Oreochromis niloticus: one gene and its partners. The protein of the gene in region 3 purifies or fractionates together with the protein of the main gene of each other region. This does not show direct contact. Links are inferred from orthologs where the notes say so. Each region holds a gene or a part of one and is shown on either strand. Other genes may lie near its edges.

Region 1 (7,283 bases), on a different chromosome or scaffold from region 3:
AGTCATTGCTAGTCTCAGGCAAGTTTATGATGGCAGGCTAATATACGAGTTTATTAAAGAACAAATCACACTTAGTATAAAAGAAAGAAGACTTCAAGGATCATTTTCAACTCAAATTTATTTCAAAACATCTGAACAAGCGGTGGGTAGTCCACTGAAAGTGACTGCATCCTGCTGTAGTTGATGCTCCACAGTGTTGGATTGGCAGCTTCAGTAGGCACTGTGAAGACAGAAAAAGTGAAAAAGGGAGAAGGGTTTAAGCCTGTGTTTAAGTCTCATACATTCCCAAATTCAGAACACTGATAACACTCTGAACTGAGCAGCATTAGACATGAGCAGCCTATCGGGAGGACTAAAGAATTCAAACTTCAACCTCTGACCACCACAGGACTGAAAACACTCAATCTTTGTGCAGCTCTGTTACACTTTAACTAGATAAGAGCTTCAGACTAGTGGCCCAGATGCAATTATGACCTAATATTGCAGATATTTGTATTGAGAACTTAGCATTAGGTTGAGTTTAAGACTCATTATGGACATTTCAAAGCCAAAAACAGATTGCCCTGCAATATCATTTACTGCAAGCCATTTTTAATGTTTTTTTCTAACCTTATAAGGTTATATAAGGAATATAAATATTCCTATAGTACATGTTAGTACTATGGGAATATCTTTAACTTTTGTTAACTATATTACAATGGAAAACATTGTCATCACCTCACCTGCAGTGTTTTATCATCCTAAACTGTTCTTGGTTCACTACGTTTTTAATAATAATAATGTTCAGGATCATCAAAGTGCATATTATCCATCAGCACTCTCACTGTGGGCTTCACCAATGCTGACAAGTTTAATGACTCAAAACACTGATCACCTGAGGTTACATGGTCTCACCTATCGCAGCCTCCTGGCTTCTCTTTCAGACTCCAGGAGTGTCAGCACATCTCCCTCTCTGACCGGGCCCTTCACGTTCCTGATGATTGAGCGGTTGCTGTCGTCCATGAACTCAACACGGACCTGGTGGGAAACGGGACCACCCAAAATTTAAATATTAAAATGACTCTACAGCAGACATTTTTCCTCATTTTGTTTTTGTCATGCATCCCTATTTATGTGGCAAGGGAGCAAAGCAATCTTAATTTAAAAATATTTTAAAACTATATTCATTTTGAAATTTTTCAGCTGTTTAAACTATCCAGTTAACACAGAAAATAAATCAGTGGTCATGATCATCAATTTATAGCACAATACCTAAAAATTTATTTTTTGGCATTTTTTAAAAAGTTATTTTTATAATCTGCTTTTTTTTGGGGGGGATCCCTGCTGTTTCTCTGTTTCTCAGAAAACAGTATCTGAGGATCTTACTCTGCAATGCTGTAAAAGCCATCAAGTGAACAACACAAGTGAACGCACATTTTAGTAATAAAGTAAATAGTTAGTGGGCAACACAGTGGTACAGCAGTTTGAATAATCGAAGTATAAATACATGTATTTTAGGTTAACTATAGTCCCCTTTTCCACTAGTACCTACTCAGATTGACTTGGTGATGCTCTCATCACGCCACTGACCAGCCAATCAGTGGCATGCAGTCTGGTGATGCAACATTTTAGTACCTGCTCGGACTGCTTTGGAACCCCGGCCGAGCAGGTAGTGTGACCTAATGGAAAACCCCGAAAACGTTACGAATCAATCCAAGTAGGTACTAAGAGAAAAGGGGCTTAAGTTTGCTATAGATATGAATGTAACATAAATTGCTATCATTAGCCCAAGTAACCGGTACACCCCCACGCTACCCTAAATGACAACTGAGATAAGCTAAGTGGGGGGGACAAAAAAATGGATGAATGAATGCATTAATACATTTTAAAGATAAATCTAGTTTCTCTATTAAACGTGGTTTCCAGTTAGGATCAGTGGCTTGCCTAAGTATGTCATTAGTAGTTAAAATCCAGTTTAAAATTTTGTCCCCCCAAAATAACCTGCCTTATTTCTGGTACAAGAAATCAGGCGAGTCATATTTTGTAGCTTAATCAGTTTTTCATCTTAAACTTTTGATAATAATTCACTCTAGTTTCAGTTAGTTGGTACAGTGGATCTGCCCAGTTTCAGCGTTAGTGACTTTAGTTATAGCACTATGGAGGATATTTATCACCAGCAAAAAATTAAGTTCAGATCAAGTTTTTTTTTGTTTTGTTTCTAAAGAAACAAAAAACGTGACTTGCAGCTAAAGAAAATGTCCAAATTTCAAACAGCCGCCTCATTACATTCTCATAATTAATGTGTAGACAAATTATGTATGACAAAACTAAACTCTTACATTTTCCATCCTAGCCCTTTTTGTATCGTTTCAGGTATTTTTACCTTGATTTATTAATTTAGTTTTTATTTTCACATGAATTTACAGCCCTAGATTGCGTATATCCTTGGCAGTAACTCAAAGTAAGCTTAAACGTATAAAAGGCAAACATTAATCGCAGACATGGTTTGTCCCGGACAAAATTTGAGGTGTTAGCCAAACTAGCATACCTGTGTACATTGTCCCTGGGAACCGGTTCTCCCGAGAACCTTGGTGACCTGAAAATAAAAACACGAGAAACATGAACATCAAATCTCTAAAATCAATATAATACACACATATATATTTAACGAACATAGAGAATCCATAAAACTAAGCATCACGAAAGTACTGCGGCAGCTAGCAGAGACTATAGCATCGACAGGCCTCCATGATAGAAGCACGAGAGCCAAAGAGACGTTTGCTAACTACGACACAAAAAATGGATTTAGCCTAAAAATTTTGAGCCCATTTGAAACAATACTTATTATTGTAGGTATCTAAGTGCTTTATATAATCATTTTCAGCGTTTTATAGATTTTCTTACTCTTGCAAGCTTGATGGGCTGCACGCGGCTGGCGTCCATGTTGTCAGGCTAGACCGGAAAGGAAGTCACGTGGTGCACGGATGGTATATATGGCAACTGTAATTTCTCAGTTTAATTAAATTTTTAATTTTAAATTATTTTTAAATCAAATTACAAGTAAAAGAATATAAACATATGAGTAATAACAACAATACCGAAATTTAATAAAAACTTTTATACATTCGTAGTTACCTCCTTTTCCGGTAGATTGGGAAATACCATTCGAAGCAGCCATGGTAAAAACCTGGGCCAAACCATTATTCACAGAGTTTACAAAACTATTTTAATGTGCAGAAACAGAGAAAGGGATTTGTCTCTGTGTAAATGTATCTTTGTTTTGTGCGTACATACAGACAATTCAAATACTGAGTTACTGGACTAACTACAAATGCTTGGGATGTCAGTCATAAAACACAGCCTATTTATCCAAAGTCAGTATCAAAAAGGTTACTGATTCAGTACATCATTAAATACATTCAGTGTTATATAATGTATATTTTGGTTTTAGTTGGCTTGAGTTAATATTAAAATGAATACTTTGTCAGTTATACCAGTGAGTTATTGTAAAGAGAAACACATCAGTAATAAACAGTGATTTTGTTGTGGAGCCTTACAATACAGTTAAGGGTCTATGCAGAATATACAGAAAACAAAGACATTTTTTATCAGTTATTATTAGTTTTAATGTATTTAACCTTTAATTCTAAAATCAGGCTTGTTGAACTAGTTCAGCAATAGGTCAAAAAGGCCATAGCTGATAGTTTGTGTAATCTACCTGAATATCCTGTGTAAAACCTCTCTGTAGCCTTGTTAGCCATGCAATACTGTCATGACACTGCCCTCTCTGGCTTTCTTCCTCTCTCAGAAGTCAAAGCCTTAAATCACAACACTAATCCTTGTGAACAGTATTTTTAACTTGCGCTGGGACAGAAAGAACAGCAATAGGATTAGAGAATCAGTGAAGAGGCTGAAGCCCTAACTCATGCAGTTGATCTTCTTGCACAGTGACTGAAAAGTACCACAGCTCTTTCTTTGTCTTTATTTCAACCTGGAGGATTTTTTTTAAACCATGGTGATATTTTGCTTGATGTTGTAGATTTAAAGAAAAAATATATGATCATTTTTGTCCAGTGACTTGATTCAAACTTGGCACAAGACATTTTCCACTGATTTATCTTCTGAGAAGCTGTCGCAATGGAGAAGTGGAAAATTCTAAAAAAACGTCGCTCCAGTCTTTTTGCATCTGTAAAACGCGATGCGAGTTTCACGCACAGCATCGAAGAGGAGGAGAGTGAATTCCCCTTTTCACAGGACAGCTCAGTAAAACCATGGACATCTATGGACAACCTTGACACTCCTGGTGACAGAAAAGAGGTGAAAAAAGATGAGAAGAAGGATGCACCAAACCCCTGGCAATCAAACATTGTCAACCTAAATGTGGGCGGAAAGGTGTTTCACATCCCTAAACACTTGGTCCTCCGATACCCAAAGACCAGGATCGGAGTCCTTGCTCTGTGCAATGATCCAGTTAAGCGTCTGACGCTCTGTGACGATTATAATGTTCAGAACAACGAGTTCTTCTTTGACAGGGACCCCATGTTTTTCCATTACATATTTCACTTTTACTGCAGTAATGTTCTGTGGGTGATGGATAGCCTGTGTCCTGTCAACTTTGAGGAAGAGATCTCATTCTGGGGGCTCAAACTGAAGGATACTCCAAGGTGCGCTGTAGATATTTGATATGCACTGTATCTATTGTGGCTTTGTCTGTGGGTATTTAAAAAGTAGCTATGGTAAAGCATTTGTCTGTCTTTCTCAGGTGCTGCCGCATTCTGTTTGAGGAGAAACTGGACGACATCAGAGAACACCTGAAGGTTAACCAGGAGCTCATTGATGAGATTAAACCTCACCATGATGACGAGGGCTACAAGACCATGTTTCTTGGAGACTTTCGTAAAGCACTTTGGGACTTGATGGAGAATCCTTACTCCTCACTGTCAGCCAAAGCCTTTGCAGTGTTTTCCAGTCTCTTTGTGCTTATCTCTATCGTTGCCATGACTCTGAATACAGTCCAAGAACTTAGGCAGTACAAACTTGCAGGCAAAACCTACATGGAGTGGGTGGAGGTTAGTTCTATCCTTTTCTTCACGTTGGAGTACTTTCTGCGACTACTCACCACATCAAACATCAAGCATTTTGTGAAGAGCGCCCTCAACTTTGTCGATTTGGTAGCCGTCATGCCCTACTTCCTCCAGATCATTTTTGAGACTTTTGTGTTAGACTCTGAAGACATCAGTGCTCAGGAGGATTTGAAGGCCATGTCGAGAGTCAGCAAAGTCAGCAAGGTGCTCAAAGTGGTCAAGCTCATGCGCATCTTCCGTATCTTGAAGCTTGCCCGTCACTCCACCGGCATGAGGGCCTTTGGCTTCACCATCCGCCAGTGCTCTGAACAGGTATGAAGGGAATAAACAACAAACACAAATGCTGGTAACATCTGAAGGCCTTTGAATAACATGGCAACTCGTAAGTAAGGCTCTGAAGAGACATACGAGGAACAGGAGGTAGTTTTATGTGAAAGTCACCACTAGGAGAAGAGAAGTGGAGAAGAAGTTTATGATAGTGTTACAACAGGATATCACAATCTATTTAAATGTGCATATTTTATTTCTTGAAGAGAGAGCTTCAAGAGCCTATGATAAAGAACAAAATCCACCTACCAGCAGCTCTAAACTTCACTAATGTAACATAATATCACATTTATTAATTTTGCATATCGTGTGTTTAAAAGCGATTAATTGAACAAAGCTTACACAGCCCGTCGAGTGCAGAAATGTCAGGAAGGCTTTATAGTAACATCTCAAATTGTCATATTACTGGATGCAAGCCCCTAAAATAGTAACTGCTTTATAGTTTCATATAAACAAGCGCTGTCGTTGACGTGCTCTGTTCTGTCGTGCTGCAGGTGTGCTGTCTGTTTCTCTTCATCGCCATGGGCATCTTCACCTTCTCTGCTCTGATGCATTCTGTGGAGGTGGATCAGCCCGGGACACCTTTCAGCAGCATACCGGATGCCTGGTGGTGGGCTGCGGTGAGTACGGGACAAGCTCTACGTCCAGTAAAGTTCTATTATGTTTGGGATGCTTGCTACAAATGCAGTATAGCCAAAACATCAGATTTGGTTTTTTGTGTCTTTTAGTGATTTCTATAAAAGTTTTAGCTTTCTGGGAATTATTTCTTCTTTTTAATGGCAGCTGTGATGATTTTGTAAATTATTTTTGAAAATATTTTCAAGTCCAATTTTTAGGTCCAGCCACACTGATGATGTAACCCTACTTATAACACCACAGTTGCTCCACATCTTTTCATTATGAATGGGGCAATTAATGTTTTACAGCATTTAGAGCGTGTAGCCGGCTCTTACCGGCTGCCACTCAGCTTCTTCCGGATCAATTAACTCAGTTATGAAGCTTGGTAAGCTCTTCCTCTTGACAGCGCTGAAGGGAAGCTCAGTTGGGGTGTGTCAGTATGATCAAGCAGTGCAGTGCATTTCGGGTGTCAGGGATTAGGTCTATCTGGATTTGTGCTGCCTGCTTAGTCAGACCAAGACAAAGATTCACAGTACAGATCATGTTCTGTGCTATTTTTATGCTTTTAAAATGCAGTAAACACTGATTATATTCAAGAGCTCAAACACAGTCTTCTTTAGTGAATTAATGGTTGGCTAAATAATATTCTGAAATTGTCTCTCTTGCAGAAAAACTTACTAACTATAATAAATGTAGGATTTGCCTTTGTGTAATTCTTACCCAAAGTATCTTCCATAATTGGTACTATATCTGACATGAAGAGAAAGGTGTGGAGCAACTCCAGGGTCACATAAACTTGATATAAATTATCTAGCCTATACAGATGTGGAGAATGGCTACTGGTGGCCACCAAGCTGTCATATGGTTAAACAGTAACTTATGCTGAGCACTCTTCTGATTGAGTTCATTGTCTGGATGCCACAATATATGTTCACTCATGTGTGTATAATAGAAACCCAAATTTGCTTTCAAGCTTCATATATAAACGATCAATGTTTAGAGGTATGAACATCACACCATTTCTAGGAAGTTTCACATGGGTCACACTGTGTCACCAGCCTGGTACTCTGTGTGTCTTTCAGTATCATCTGAGGACATGGTTTTCATTTATCTGGTGGCAGCTGTGAATTTATACGTGTCTAATTCCCTCTAATGCTGCGTAATGCGTCTCATTTGTAGCCAGACAGAGTGATTGAATTCAAGAAATATAAAATGTAGCACTACTTTCCTGGAAGGTTTTTTGAGCCTATTTATTCCAAACTTCCAAAATGTCAG
Region 2 (7,370 bases), on a different chromosome or scaffold from region 3:
AGGACATTTGGCATGCAGGGGGAGGAGCCAGGGATCGAACCACCAACCTTCTGATCAGTAGATGACCTACCCTACCTCCTGAGATACAGCCACCCCAAGTCAGGGGTTATGTCAGGTATTGATTAAAGTGGGACCTGTGAGGGTTACTACTAAACAGCATCTCTGAGCAAGAAATATGGAAACAGAGTGGTATTTATACAGCGGTGTTTGACTCCTAAACACCAAGGTTGAAAGAGGATCATAACTCAATAGCTGATTTAATATTGCAATTAAATTTGTTTTCTGAAATACAATTTAAACATTTTTAACAGCTCAGAGTTACTGACAATCTGAAAATTGTTAGTTGCCCAACTAATACACACCCAAGGACTTTGGCTTATCGTGTTTACAGATACCTGTTTTGAACCTGTTCAATACCTGCTTGGAGGGGTTTAACAGCAAGTCTAGGGGACAATTAATATTTTATTTGTAGGATCTGGATTCTTGGGTAACACCAGATGAATTCACAGTTATTAAAAAAACCTATAAAACCATAAAAAACACAGGACCTTTAATCTTAGGTTCACTTCAGTTTTCTTTGTTTTGCTCGAGGACTGCTTATCTGTTTTAATATGCTGGCTGCCAGCAGGGTTAGCACAGGGTTAGATTTGCCTACAAAACAAGAGTAACGTGCTTACTGCTGGACATGCATTTTGTATTTTGTGATGATTGTCTGATCATGTTCCTGCTTTATTCCAAAGGTTGCAAAGGAGAGGCTGGCTAACAAAAAAATCTGCTTCACAGCAGACAACTTGTTTCTGTAAGTGTACACCTTTGTGTGTAAAAATCCAAGACAAATCCTTTCTCACACCACCTGTCAAACAAGCTTTGCTGTCTGTTCTAATGGACTGTCCGTCTTCCTGTGACCTAATGACGCACATAACAGTTTATACATAGACACACATGCCCGCTGTACTACAGCTGTCTATAGAACACATCCGGGCAGACCATGAACAGGACTGAAGCATAAATGCATATAAAGTATATTTAAATGTTTAAAAGTCCTGAAGCTGAATAACTATTGTTTTTAACCTGACACCGACTGACATGGTTATTTTTTTTATTTATTACTTACTTGGGTTATTTTTATGTTTGTTCTCTTTATTTTAATTTTTAACTAATGTAGCAGGAATTTCCTAACTTTAAGACAAATACAGTAAATCTTATCTTTATCCAAAATAATAAGACGGTGATTATTCTTACGCTACCCCATACCCTAAAAGCTCTTTAAAGTTTCTTTAGTCCAGCTCTCTTTTATTTTGCCAGACTTAAAAAAAAACTCTCACATGGGCAAAACACACAAGCTTTACACAATGGTAGCAGGCTACAACTCCTAATTTCACCCACAGCTGCTTTCCTGCTTTTCAAAAGGTCAGTGTCTTTGCAAGTGAGTGAGAGCACAAAAACAAGCATATTTTAGAGCCAGCAGGCAAATAATGCTGCCTTAACAGACACTTTACTCTAAGTAATTTCCTTCCAATGTGGCACTAGCATACACAGCATGTGATAGCCTAAATACTAAACCACTGTTCATGACAGAGAGACAGCAAGACACTAAGAATCCTGAAATACAATAGCAGATACTGTATAAACATAAACCTGCATCAGCCACTCAAACAAACACAGCCATGAAAGACCATTTCTCTTTGAGACCAAGCCTGTCCAGAAAAGGGAAATGTAAGGCAACTGGGCCTAATCAGTACTGACAGGGATTCTCATCAGGTGTTAGCGGAGCCCACATAAATATGGTCTCTCTTACTCTGTCTCTGCTCAGAATTTCGTCTTTAAAGCTAGAGACCCTGAAAGTGTTACATGTTCAACTCACTATTCATTGGATAACTCAAGTTGGAGCAACACTAAAATAAACAGCTGTGGCTCAAGGGTCAGGCTCACATTCACCTGTGCCAAGCACTGTCTACGACCCGAGAAACACCCAAAGGCTAGAAATGTCAACACGTTTAAAAGTTGAAGGGTAACATATCATTTCCTTTCACGAGCAAAAGTTTGGTAATCAGTCACATGGATTAATGGATAATAAAGCAGAAGATTGATTCCACTTTGACACAATTCGCAGGCCATACGCTAGCAATGCTTAATTTACATATTAAATACTGATCATAACACACAAACTCAGGTACAGTTATCGAACAGCGGCTAACTTTGGGGTAATCTACTGACTGCTAGCATTAGCTTACAAAGTGTAACTTAATAGGCAGCTACTGGCCTTGGGACACTTAACCTCCTAAATCTATTTGCAACACACATACGTACAATAAGTGCAGATACTCCCGGTGACAACCTTTAAATGTGTAGCAGTACTAGTCTGTAACTAGCTATCAATAAGGTAGCCAGCTAGCTACAGTTAAAAAAAAGCAAAACAATTTTAGTCTTGTGAAAGTAGCTTAACGCTAGGTGACTATCCTTTCTACTGTGTGTATAATATCCATCTGACAAACCAAGAGGTGATAACGGGCACATAACTAAAAACGTAGCGTGTTTGCTTAATCTACATCTGCATATTGTTATAACGTTACAGCAGACGCTAGCTAGGTGAGCCAAGTTAGCTGCTCGCTAGCCGGCTATCTGACTAACTTACTTAGCATCTGGGCTAATTGTCCGCCATCACAAAGCTAGCCAGTTCGGCTGCATATAAAATACAGGCTTATCAAGAAATACTATTTAAACACTCGGAGAACGTCTTTCTAAATGCTTTAAGTGACATTAGCAGGGGTGTTTTACCTTGTTCGCTGTTCCTCTACTTTCCTACACTCTGTATCTTTGCTGTGTGCTAACGCAACGGTTGTCAGTAAAATCCTCAGCCGAGCAGGCCCCTCAGTCTGCTACGGCTCTCTTGCCATCTCTGTACAGAAGCCTATGACTAGCAAAACACACGGGCGACAGGCGCGCCACCCCAGTAGATACTAGTGGAAAAGGGGTAATACTGCCGTGTAATAAGTCGGGGCACGAAACAGGCTTACTGCTATACACTGCACATTTATTACTTTTATGTAGTCTAAACGGAAACTCTTAACTAAAATATTCGGTTCGTCATGATCCAATTTATTAATAAAATCCAAACTTTTGTTTTTCCTTTTAAAATATTCTTTGTTTGTTTGTTTAATCTCAAAACTTATTTATTTTTACATTTCACGTTACTGAACGTTGTAGGCAATGTTGACTGAAAGTCCCGTTTCCCGTTTACTTAACCAATTTTACCAGAAAAATGATGTAGGGGGGTGTGCGTCCCAACTAGGTCCCCCATAAATCTGTCGGGCACCGATACATTAGGAACGAAAACTAGGCCGATTTGTGGTAATTGAATGTGTTGATGTAATGTAACCTCATATTACCTGATGCTTTTTAAAAATATATTTGTAGTTTTTAAAGTTTAGAAAATAAAAATATTTAAAAGAAAGAAGAAAGATACACGATTAGATGTGTTACTAGTGTTCACCTTTACCTGCCTTGTTGTTGATCTGTAAGACCATTAGAGACTGATTTCAACTTGTGATTGTTAACCAGATTTTCTGAAAGAGACTCACTGTGTCTGACATACTGTTTCTAACTTTACATATTTTTCCCCAAGTGTAGCAAATTTCCTAATTCTTTCAGCCACTTATCAAACATTGGAGTTGTCTCAGACTTCCTAGACTGGAGCAGAATTTTTCCTGCTAACACTGTGGATAGAGCTTCTTCATGATGTGTAACCTGCTTGAGTCTACCACCCCAAATAATGCTTTAAGAGGGGCAAAGGGGCACTCCAAATTAAAAACCTTGGTGAAGAAATCAAATAAGTGATTCTAGAAAATCTATAATCTTTTGAGAACCTCATCTGTGCAAGTCTTTGGAAGACTGAATTGTATCAGAGTGTGCAAAGAATTTATATAGATGCTGTGAATATTTGCCACAACATTTTTCCCACACATGCTCAGTGCCTAGTTCTTCCTGCCAGTGTGTCCTGATGCTTATTTTTTTATCATTTTAAAATACAGAGTACATTCAGATTCTGGAGCCAGCTTTATTTTGTAAAAAACAAAACAAACAAACAAAAAAATACTGCAGTGACTTATAATTAACACGTTATTTTCCACATATTAAAGAGAAACTTATACAGACACATTTCAGACCCTTGCTGGTGTTGTTTACAGAGGATCTGCTGCTCTTTTTCATGTGTGTGGTTGATGATTTACAAAATCTTACAGTAATGAATGTTATATTAAATTGTCTGGAAAAATCAAAAGTTTTCTATATTTTACATAGAGATATTGATGGTTGTTTAATGGGACGTCTCGTGGGATTGAGGTCTCTTTTTTGCTAAATGTTTGGAGCACAAAAAAGTAAAAATAAAATACAATAAAATGAAATAAAATTCAGAAAAGCTTGCAGTCATTATACAGGAACAACAGCTCACAGGGTATAACACAAGATGCACGTACAAGAATCATAAAAGTTTTTGTCAGTTATGTTCGAGTATCGAAGTTACCCACTGAACAGTCCACAGATACAGATGGTAAACTGGGACAAAATCGAAAGGCTAAAAAGCTTTGTTATCCAACAGAAATGTAAAAGTATTCTGTGGGTTTAACTAGTTGGTATGTGTACTTGTCTTGGAGTCTCTAATGTCAAATTTTCAGACTCTTCTTAAGAACATTCGTTACAAGATTTGTGAAGGTTTTCTTGGGATTTAAATTGACTATTCCCCGTTTGATATGATGCAGAATTGACTCCAAGCTGCCCAAACCTAAAATGACGACAGATCTCAGTACTGTGCTTAATACACTTAATAACAGTTCTTCTACTAAGATCTGTTGCCTTTTGTCTATACCAAATATTGCAACTGTTAATTTGCACAAATAATGTCAAATGATGTAGTCAATATCATTTTTAAAGCAAATTAAAGCAAGGCTTTCTTTAAAATTATGTTAAAAGGAAGTTTTGAAAGCCTTGAACTCCAAAACCTAGACATGAATTAAAATAAAGATACAGGACCTAAATTAGTGGTGAAGTTTCTTTTTGAAAATTAAAGATTCTTCATTTGGGTAAAAATAAAAGTTTGAATTAAAAAATACGTCTCAATGTTTAAGTTTTTACAATTTCTTTTTTGAGGAAGTATTTGGAGGACATGAACTGGAAGGGGTGTTTTTTTTTTCAGAATTATATTAAAGATGATGCTGTGTTGGTGGTCGCTCAGTATTATTGATCAACTATTATAACGAACCTCAGTCTGTACTGTTTTTTGTTAGTAGGCACATGGAAGTAAAAATCCTAATTATCTGTTTCCTAATTTCGAATAGCATTTGAGTCAAGGGGATGCTTTTGAGCTTAAAATGATTGACTAATTAACAAATAATCCTAAAATAAAAACTGCTGTTCTGTGGCAGGCAGATGGGTGTAATTCCAGGAAGAGTGCAGATGTAATTGATGACACTGTTATTGAATTGTGTGGTCCTGGTATGGTGCATGCTGGACTCCTGGTGTGGATGACATTTAAACTGAATAAATGATGTTATGAGAATCATTAGAACTGTAATCATCACACATCCATCTCTCAAGTGAACAGCTCATCTCAGTCTGCAAAAATAATGGAGACTTATTACAATGACAGGTCCAAAACCTTCCAGGGTTACTACATTTGTGACCCTCATTTGTTGGTGAGCCAGAGGCCACAGAAAACTCTGTAATCTTACATGAATTATTTGCAGGTGGGTACGTCAGTTTAAATGAAATACATAAAATAGTATCGCAAATGGCCCAGTGAGTAAAATCACTGTCTAACCTGTTTGAAAAATAATTTTTAGAGTAAACAAGAACAACTGCAATCTTAAAACTTGAATCAATTTACACAACTGTTAATAAAAAGGGAAGTCTTTAAAAAAAAAGTTATTACACTCTTAAAATTTAATTAATCTAAATTTTTTTAATGCATTTAGTCAGTCTACTGTCATTACACACATTATCACTGAAAGAGCAAAGGGGTGCCACAAAGACACAAAAACTTCACATGTGTAATGTAATAAAAAAAATAGCGTTTTAACAACTTTATGTTTCTAACAAATTGCTGAGATCTAGAAATTGTTCTTGGCATCATCACACTGTGAAAGATGGTTCATTTTACAATAGGAGCCATATGTTTGAGACCCATACTCTAAACCTGTTTTGTCCTCACAACTGCATTGTTATATTGGGCCCACAAAAATAATGAAATAAATAATTCTTCAGAACATGGAAATGTTCCTGGATGTGTGCCACTGGACTTATTTCCAACAGACAACAAAATATGCAGCTCCAGAAAAGGTGAACCCATGTGAACTTGACAGGGTAAGATAAGCAATCTAAGAAAGCTTGATCTACAATCAACAGGCAATTTCATGATTGGGGACATGTATAGGATTTACCACAAAGTGCAAATGCCTGGTTACACTCAAGAAGGACAGTTTGACCTTTGTCAGAAAGCATCTAAATGAGTGCACAGTTTGGACAAAAAATATTGTATAGAAGAAAAACAGATTAACTTGTACCAGAATGGCAGGAGGAGCAAAGCATAGAGACAGAGGGAAACAGCTCATGATCTGCAGCATACCACATAAGTTCGCCAGCATACCTGGCGAACTTATGGCATGGACATTTATGGCAGTGGAACTGTGTTTCTATTGATAATGTCAATGCTGCTGTTTGTAGCAGGGTTAATTGTCAAGTGCAAAGGATTATATTCTCTACTCAGATTCAGCCCATTACTGCAAAAATATTGATTGGATATAACTACGCAGTGCATATGGATAACGATTTCAATTTGTGGACATCAGCTTTTAACCAGTGCCAGCAGATTTTTGAAGGGCTTACATATCTCAGATATCATCCATCCATCCATCCATCCAGACACATAATCGCTCCAGTATATAGTATATAGATAGTCCAGATATCCCACATCAACTGGCTCTTTCAAATGTGGAGGTGCAGCAGCTCTGAGCCCCTCACAATCAAAATCTTTATCCTCTCTGTAATTGTGAACGAGATACCCTTCAGAGGAAGCTCATTTCTGCACCTTGTATCCAAGATTATATTCTTTCTGGTAGTATCTGTAGTTTGTGGCTATAGTTGAGGGTAGAAAAGCATTGTTTAGTAATTTGACAGCTTTGCCTTAACACTCAGCTCCTTCTTTATCACAACAGACCGATAGAGGACCGAGATTACATCAGATGCTGTTCCAGCCTGTCTGTCAATCTCCTGCTCCACTCTCCCCCTGCCCATGAACAAGACCACAAGTTACTTCAACTCATCAAATTCAGCTGATCAAGAGACCAACTAGGTCTGTAAATAACCAATACTGATCA
Region 3 (7,024 bases):
ATCACACTGATTAGTGTACTAGAAGCTGATTTTACAAAGGAAGAGTAAACTTTAAAATTAGAAAAATATGAAGAGGTTACATAAATGATGTAAGTATTTGTATCCACTTTGGTTAGAAAGCTATTATTAAAGTGTAGCCACTTGTGTGAGTTAATCGATAAAAATATCCCCTTAAGACATTGGAGAACCTGATGAGCTGTTATCAAGTATTCCAATCATTTTCAAATTTGCATAAAACAGTTACAGCTGCTGTGTCTTTTAAGTATTTAAGATTAAGTTAAAATACAACAACAGAATTCAAATATAGGCTTAGTCTATGTACAAATTTGAAATTAGGTTAGAAAGTGCAGTATAGGTGTCCTGTTTTAGGATCATATATTACTGACTAACACTTATCAAAGAATAGATTGTTGCTGACAACATGGGAATGAATTTATATTTATCACTGATGCTCAACAGGTTAACACAAAGACTTTAGACACTACTGAAAAACCATCTACTCTACCCACAGTGGGATTTTTCAGGAAGGGTGATGCCAGTTTCCAACAAACTGCCTGGTCAGTAGGCGGTGATTTCATACCTGCTGATCTCTAATCAGGAACCTAACCTGTTCCGGAGCAGGTTAGGGTTAAGGGTTAAACTTCAGAGGTAATCCAGAAGTTACCCAGATAAGATTAAATCCTGCTTTGTAGTACAGAGGTCTCTATAGAGACCTGTCACAAGACCAATTCTTTGGTAACTTTCATTGTGACAAACTAAAAACTTTGAACCTGTGATTGTGATGGTATTAAAATGTAATGTAATGAATATCACTGACTTTTCAAAACATTTCAGGTTGCAAGCATTTTGAGACTTTTACAAACTGTATGATGCACTTCATGGCAGCATACATACTTGAGGAAGTATCTCTGGCCAGAGGCAGTCTTGGCCATCTCCCACCCATCTGGTAGGGGCATGTCATCAGGAATCTCATAAGAAGACTGACGAAGATGTTGAGGAGAGGCCCCTGTTGAGCCCATGCCAGACAGTGAGCCACCAGAAACAGCTCCTAACTGCAAGGAAGCAGGGGATGAGTGTGCACGGACATGGTGAGGGATGAGCACTCCGCCACTCCCAGCATCGGTGCTGGCCTGTGTTGGGGTTGAGAGACAACAAGAGCTGAGTCAGTTTTCTGTGGGGAGTTTGAGTGAAAATCCTTACTTCAAAACATCAATTATCATGTAATAATTAAAAAAGGCAATACGAAAATGTAAACACAAACTAAACATTTATGAAAGAATAAAAAAAATATATGTGGCTTTGTTCGTTTCAAATACAAGTGCAATAATGGATTAAGAAACGAAAAACAGAACAGTCTTAATTTAATGACCTTGTGTAGTAGTCTAAATAATTTCTACCCATTTAATATTTGAGTCACTCCTTATAATTCATAATCACTTTAAAGTGTATATAAATTCTATTCATGTGCATGTGAAGGCATGTTTTTGACTTATTCGGGTGTGGGAGGCATCCAGGGCCCGCCACCAACACGCATGCGCACTAGTACAAAAAATCCTCAGCGTTATGGGGAGCGACCGGTAACTTGGAAGTGCTGGAAATGGAAGAAGGGATCGGGGAGGGGCTGTGGGTGAATATAGGATAATTTAACCATCATATGATTTCCTGTCAGCAAATCAAGTTGTTTACATAAAAAAGTCGGATTAGAAAGAAAATTTAAGATGATGCGAACATGACGGTTATCCGTCTGCAAATAGCTATACATGAATTATTAACCAAACCATCCCTTATTGTTTTTACATGGTCACTTATCTATTCACAATTTATTCTAAGCTAAGCAATATTCATCGGTTTTCTTGGTTACTTACGGCCAAAGACTGTAAGAGAATGTTTCCGCCGTTTTATAAAGCCCTCACGGCCTTTACTGTTTTAATGTTTTGTTTTGTTTTTTTGCTGTGCAATGTGTTAAATAGAAATTTGAGGGGGGGAAAAAAACAACCCATCAATGGAAATGCACACTCATTTAAGCATGTCAATACGAGTCCGCCTGAATAAAGTTATTATATCTTAAAGACTTTAAAAAAAAAAGTGTGTTCAAAGATGACTGACCAATAAAACAATAACGCTGAAGGCTAAAAATGGCACTGAAGAAGGATGAAGTAACTATTAACTAAGTGCCAGTCACGTAGCTCCAGAAGGCCGAAGCTCGACAAGATGGGCCCTGATTTTTAGTCGTGATTTCTGAGTACGGGCACAGTAAAAACCAGGGCGGGCTTACTTGTCTGGAATGAGACTTTGGTTCTGGTGGTTTGAAGAAGGAGTCTGGCAGTTTCCTCATCCTCATGGGCACAGAGTGGGGCACGGTATTGACTTTCGGGTTCATCACGGCGTTAAAAAGCGCCTCTAGGTCAGTCTCAGAGTCGCCCCGTACATGGACGATTTGGTGTCCGGCAGGAGGGTTGTGCTGGCTCGGATCCATTGTCCCAAAACAGTCTTCGAACTTTATGTCCCAAAAAAGTTAGGCTTCGGAAGTTAAAAAATAAACGTGAGTCAATCCCAAACTTTTTTTTCCACGCCGGGAGAAATCTGAAAATCTCGACGACACTCAGTAAAAGTTATTCGGAGTCATTCTAAACTTTACAAGTCGAGCACTTGATATTCTTCCAAAGTGTGTTAGCTGTCGAAATCTGCAATGAAAGACAGCCTTTTCCTGTTGTTTCCTGCTGGCATACTTGTTAACGTAACAAAGCGCATAAACTCCACATTGGAATTTATGCTCTCGTCCCCCCAAAAAACGCAGATGCAGCCACAAAAGACGAAAAAACACCACAAACGGTTGAGTGAAAGAGTCCAACTTTTTCTGAGTGTCGGGCCAAGTCCAAGCTGTTGTTGATATTCTTTTAAGCAAGGCTCATAGTGAGCAGTACAAATCTCCGCAGCTCACTTTCTAGAAAAAAAAAAAAAAAGTTTAGCCCCAGTCGGATCTAAACTTTGGAGAGGAGACATCAAACTTTATGACGCCAGTGACGTAATGACCAATAAAGGGCGGGACTTACGGCTCCGATTGGGACAAGAGCGTTTAAAGGTAGACTGTGAAAAAGCCAAGCCCTTTATTAGCGGGCACCTTCCCCAATTTAAATAACGTGTGAAATTAAAAGTAAAATATTATGTGCCAAAAGATACGTTTTTGATAAAACATGTCACAACTTTTAAAGTTAACATCTACTTATTTTGACAGCAAATGGAACTGTAATATCCTTTACAGTTTATGTAATCTTCGACTGGACAATCAGGGCAACACCTTATAAATTATGGCCCATTTGCTAGCCCAAATCTGAATGCAGCGTAGAAAAAGAAACTACTATATAGGAAGTTTCATTAAACTAACTTGCAGATGCACTGAAAATGAATGAACACAGCAATGTAACCAAATTAAACTCAAATTTGATGCTATAAAGTGACATTTTCTTGTACAACTTTGTACATGTTTTTTTTTTTTCAAAGTTACCAAAGTTTTCTAGTGTAAAAACAAGAAATTAAAGGACAAATAAGAAAACGAAAATCAAATTCATATTGAACTTAAAGCTCATAATAACTTACAATAAATTGCATTTGCAAACGGAAAATCTGACTAAAGCAACACTGGCAGATCACATTTTTCTTTGCAGGATTTATTTATAGCATTATGACACAATATAGATAAACACTTTTCCAAGAATCTGAGCAAAGATAACAAAAAAAAAACTATCATCACTATGTGTAATAGTACAGTTTTGTCTTTCTCTCACTCTCTTTTTTTTGTTACAGTGCTCATGAAAAGTAGACCCATGCAGTTCCCACAATTGTTATGCTAATGCGGCCCCTCTCCCATTGAGAAATCATTTTGTCAAGATCCACCCTCTTTGGATATAGAGGCTCTGTTTCAGCTTTTCCCATACATCCACTGAATGCATCATTATGAAGATCTATTAAATATCCACAGACACTGTAAACCTCCTTAACAGACTGATAGTCACAAGCCACATGCTTTTGGACAGATAATACTTTTTAACAAAGCTGTACCTTCAAAATCTTAGAAACATTTAACATCGCTGTAATCCACCATACTAGTGTACTGATAGGAATTCATGTTTGTCCTGCTAAACTTCGATGTGTCTAATAAATGATTAGTAAAATACTGACAGTGAGAAAACTTTTAATATATGTGAAATACTTGATTATTGTTTTAAAAGTCGCTCTAATTTGATGAATGAAGGAAACAGTCTTTGCACACATGCTGCCAGTCAAAAAATGGCAATTGTTTCAATGAAAGTGGCCATTTTTACATCATTGTAACGCAGTCAGACACATTAAAGAGATGGACTGCAGTGTCCCGGCAGCGCCAAGAGGACCACCCACCACGCCGAGTTTGGTCACTTTTTGTCAGCCTTCCATCCTCCTCACTGCTCTCGATTGGATATTACTAGAAACGATTATATGGCCGCTATAAACCAGAATCAACCTGTGATCTACAGTGTAGCTGCATGAGTCCACTTTGTGTAAAGCGCTTTGCTCTTCTGTTTGGCTATTACAGATATGTTGACACACCGTTGCTATAGTCAAGTGAGTAGAAGGCTCGCACGCCCCCTGCAGTGTACAATCGGTATTTATCCCAAACTATTGCAGCGTCTATCCCTTCCTTTCTGACTTCCTTTAAACATGAACTAACCACGTACAATACAGTCAATAATAAATGAAAATGATATACTGCATGTCAACTTTAACGTTTTTTATTGTCTACAGTCTTTCAGTTTTATGCATAAATCTTAGCTATCACTCATTTTCTGAGCTTTTAAGCCATTGTTATCATTACAAATTTGATCTAAACATGTAAAGCTTAATTTCCAACCTCCCATCCATGTGCATATTGTTTGATTACAAAAGATATTCAGATTCAGAAGTCAAGGTTTGTTTCAGTCATTTTTCGTTGCATGCAATATTGCTTTTCCAGACACTCATTCATTGCGTGTTAAATGGACTGTAACAAAAGAAGACAAAATACTTGACAGCTTAAGCTTCACAACAGACCAAAGCACAAGTTTGAACTTGCATCTGTGAAAATGTCTCCCCTTATTTTCAGCACTCTTGCCTTTTCTTGTTCAGTTTCTGGGTGTTGTGCTGGTTAAGGCTTAAAGCTCATTACACTCACCATTGTATAGCATAATGACTGTGAACAATAATGGTGCCAAGCCAAACGGAACTGATTTCAGGGCAAACCTACAGCAGAATATTCAGAATTTCAGTGATTTATCTGAACATGAACACTTAATCTACATGATTGTGTTTATTTGTGTGCGTGCCTATGTTGTTGTTGTTTTTTATTGGGGCAGTCCAAGTATTATTACTAGACAGTTTCTTGTTAATAGGTAGGACTCAAATATGTTAAATATCAGCATTCATCAGTTCAGATAAAAGTAGTTTTCTTCCCTTTATAATCGTCTCATGCACACTGGGTAGAAATAACACTGATGCTCATTGTCAATTAACCACATTGGACAATTTGTATGTTTCACTGGAGAATCTCTTCACATATAATGAGTCAAAGTGCGTCTGCTGTTGTGGGCATAATCATATGCTAAAAATGAATACATTGTCTCCCTCTGTTGCTGTTCTCAGGTTTGGTGTAAGCTAACAAGGAGGTGATGCACGACTCGATGTGGCAATGAGACACCATTGTCACATTACTGTTTATAGCTCCTTCTTGGAGCACCAAAGAAACCTGCAGTTAAGCTATAAAAAAGTCCCATCATTGTTCAGATGAGCTTGGGCTTCCTTCAGCTCTTGGAACAAGTCCTAGCAGGCTGACAGAGGGACAAACCCAGACACGCCGGAGAAGGAGGGGCAGCTCACATCAATAATCCCTACAGCGTCTTCCCCCAATGCACCTATTGTTTGCCGAGGAAGACAGAGAAGTTTTTAATTAAATACACTTTAAACAACAACTAGTATCAAATAATACCATCCTTTGTCTTTTGATGTTGCTATAGATTGAGGGCAATATTAAATAAATTAAGCCTTAAAGCAAAAATAAAATTCAGCATAGGTGCAATCTTAAGAGAAACCTGTGGAAACCTCTTTGGTAGAGGCTTGGCTTGCTGAGCCAGTAGGTTGAGTCTAGTAGCCATAATCATCTGTTCCACAGCCATAAAAGAAAGACGAACACACCTTCAACGCTGCAAAACGTCTTTTCATAAACCATTTCCAGGCCTTGGTCAATTCACTGATTGTAACACTGCCAAACACAGAGTTTATCAGCAAACTGACAACAAGATTTATTCACTTCACTGCTGATATAGTTGCAAAACAGTCCAGCAAATCATAGTGTTACTATACAAAATAAATACAGAGTGGTGCAACTTTAAACATTTAACATATACAATTTGATAGTGTTTGTATATTTTGTAGTCAGGGCTGGTCATGTGTTGATTGAAACAAGAGCATCTTTGCATTTTTTAACATAAAAACAGATTAAAGCCTTTCTCATTTACATAGGCACTTCAGACTTAAATTGCTTGATAATCAGTATCTTAAAATTGTTTTTCTTTTATGACCATGTGCTACGTGCGCTCTAAGGCTGCTGATATGGGGTTTTTTTGTCTTTGCAATTCAAGGCTGTTTATATTTCAGATCCTTAGTTACTTGAAAAGACACACTTTGTAAAAATTCCTTTTGCGGGGTAATAAGTGCTTGTTTCAACAACATGTTTCAGCATAATGTGCACCGATGAGGGCTCAAGACTGCTGTGGCGAACACAAGCTTCAAGTCAGGACTTCTTGTGGTATCGAGAGTGATTGTTAGCTGAGGATCCACAGTGTTTGTTATGGTTTGATGCTTTCACTTCTCTTGTCTGAAAATGGAGACAGAAGTTAAGGAATGAATTATCTTCAACAAAGTCACCCTTTCTGTTGAGGAAAGAAATAAATCCCTGCTAAATACTTACATAGGGTGCATCACTAAGTACAAGACCATGCATGCTAGTATTGCCCCC

Evidence for each region. The genes of interacting proteins can lie anywhere in the genome.
Region 1: the proteins of yap1 (region 3) and rps28 purify together in Homo sapiens (affinity purification with mass spectrometry, with the first as the bait; 3 studies listed by BioGRID). This does not show direct contact. The link is inferred for Oreochromis niloticus from reciprocal best matches to the Homo sapiens genes YAP1 and RPS28.
Region 2: the proteins of yap1 (region 3) and wwp1 purify together in Homo sapiens (affinity purification with mass spectrometry; 3 studies listed by BioGRID, with this or other methods). This does not show direct contact. The link is inferred for Oreochromis niloticus from reciprocal best matches to the Homo sapiens genes YAP1 and WWP1.

The regions. Positions count from the first base shown.
Region 1 is NC_031982.2:11,422,615-11,429,897, reverse strand, and holds rps28 (small ribosomal subunit protein eS28), read right to left. Parts: upstream 3,011-7,283; 5' UTR 2,923-3,010; coding exon 2,884-2,922; intron 2,576-2,883; coding exon 2,528-2,575; intron 1,018-2,527; coding exon 895-1,017; 3' UTR 875-894; intron 221-874; 3' UTR 101-220; downstream 1-100. Other genes in the region: si:rp71-39b20.4 (potassium voltage-gated channel subfamily V member 2), read left to right, coding at 4,117-4,643, 4,742-5,375, 5,885-6,010. UniProt on the Homo sapiens protein: Component of the small ribosomal subunit. The ribosome is a large ribonucleoprotein complex responsible for the synthesis of proteins in the cell. Part of the small subunit (SSU) processome, first precursor of the small eukaryotic ribosomal subunit.
Region 2 is NC_031974.2:27,338,065-27,345,434, reverse strand, and holds the start of wwp1 (NEDD4-like E3 ubiquitin-protein ligase WWP1), read right to left. Parts: upstream 3,011-7,370; 5' UTR 2,779-3,010; intron 1-2,778. UniProt on the Homo sapiens protein: E3 ubiquitin-protein ligase which accepts ubiquitin from an E2 ubiquitin-conjugating enzyme in the form of a thioester and then directly transfers the ubiquitin to targeted substrates.
Region 3 is NC_031979.2:32,236,363-32,243,386, forward strand, and holds the start of yap1 (transcriptional coactivator YAP1), read right to left. Parts: upstream 3,010-7,024; 5' UTR 2,477-3,009; coding exon 2,276-2,476; intron 1,131-2,275; coding exon 895-1,130; intron 1-894. Other genes in the region: cep126 (centrosomal protein of 126 kDa), read right to left, coding at 6,800-6,883, 6,977-7,024. UniProt on the Homo sapiens protein: Transcriptional regulator with dual roles as a coactivator and corepressor. Critical downstream regulatory target in the Hippo signaling pathway, crucial for organ size control and tumor suppression by restricting proliferation and promoting apoptosis.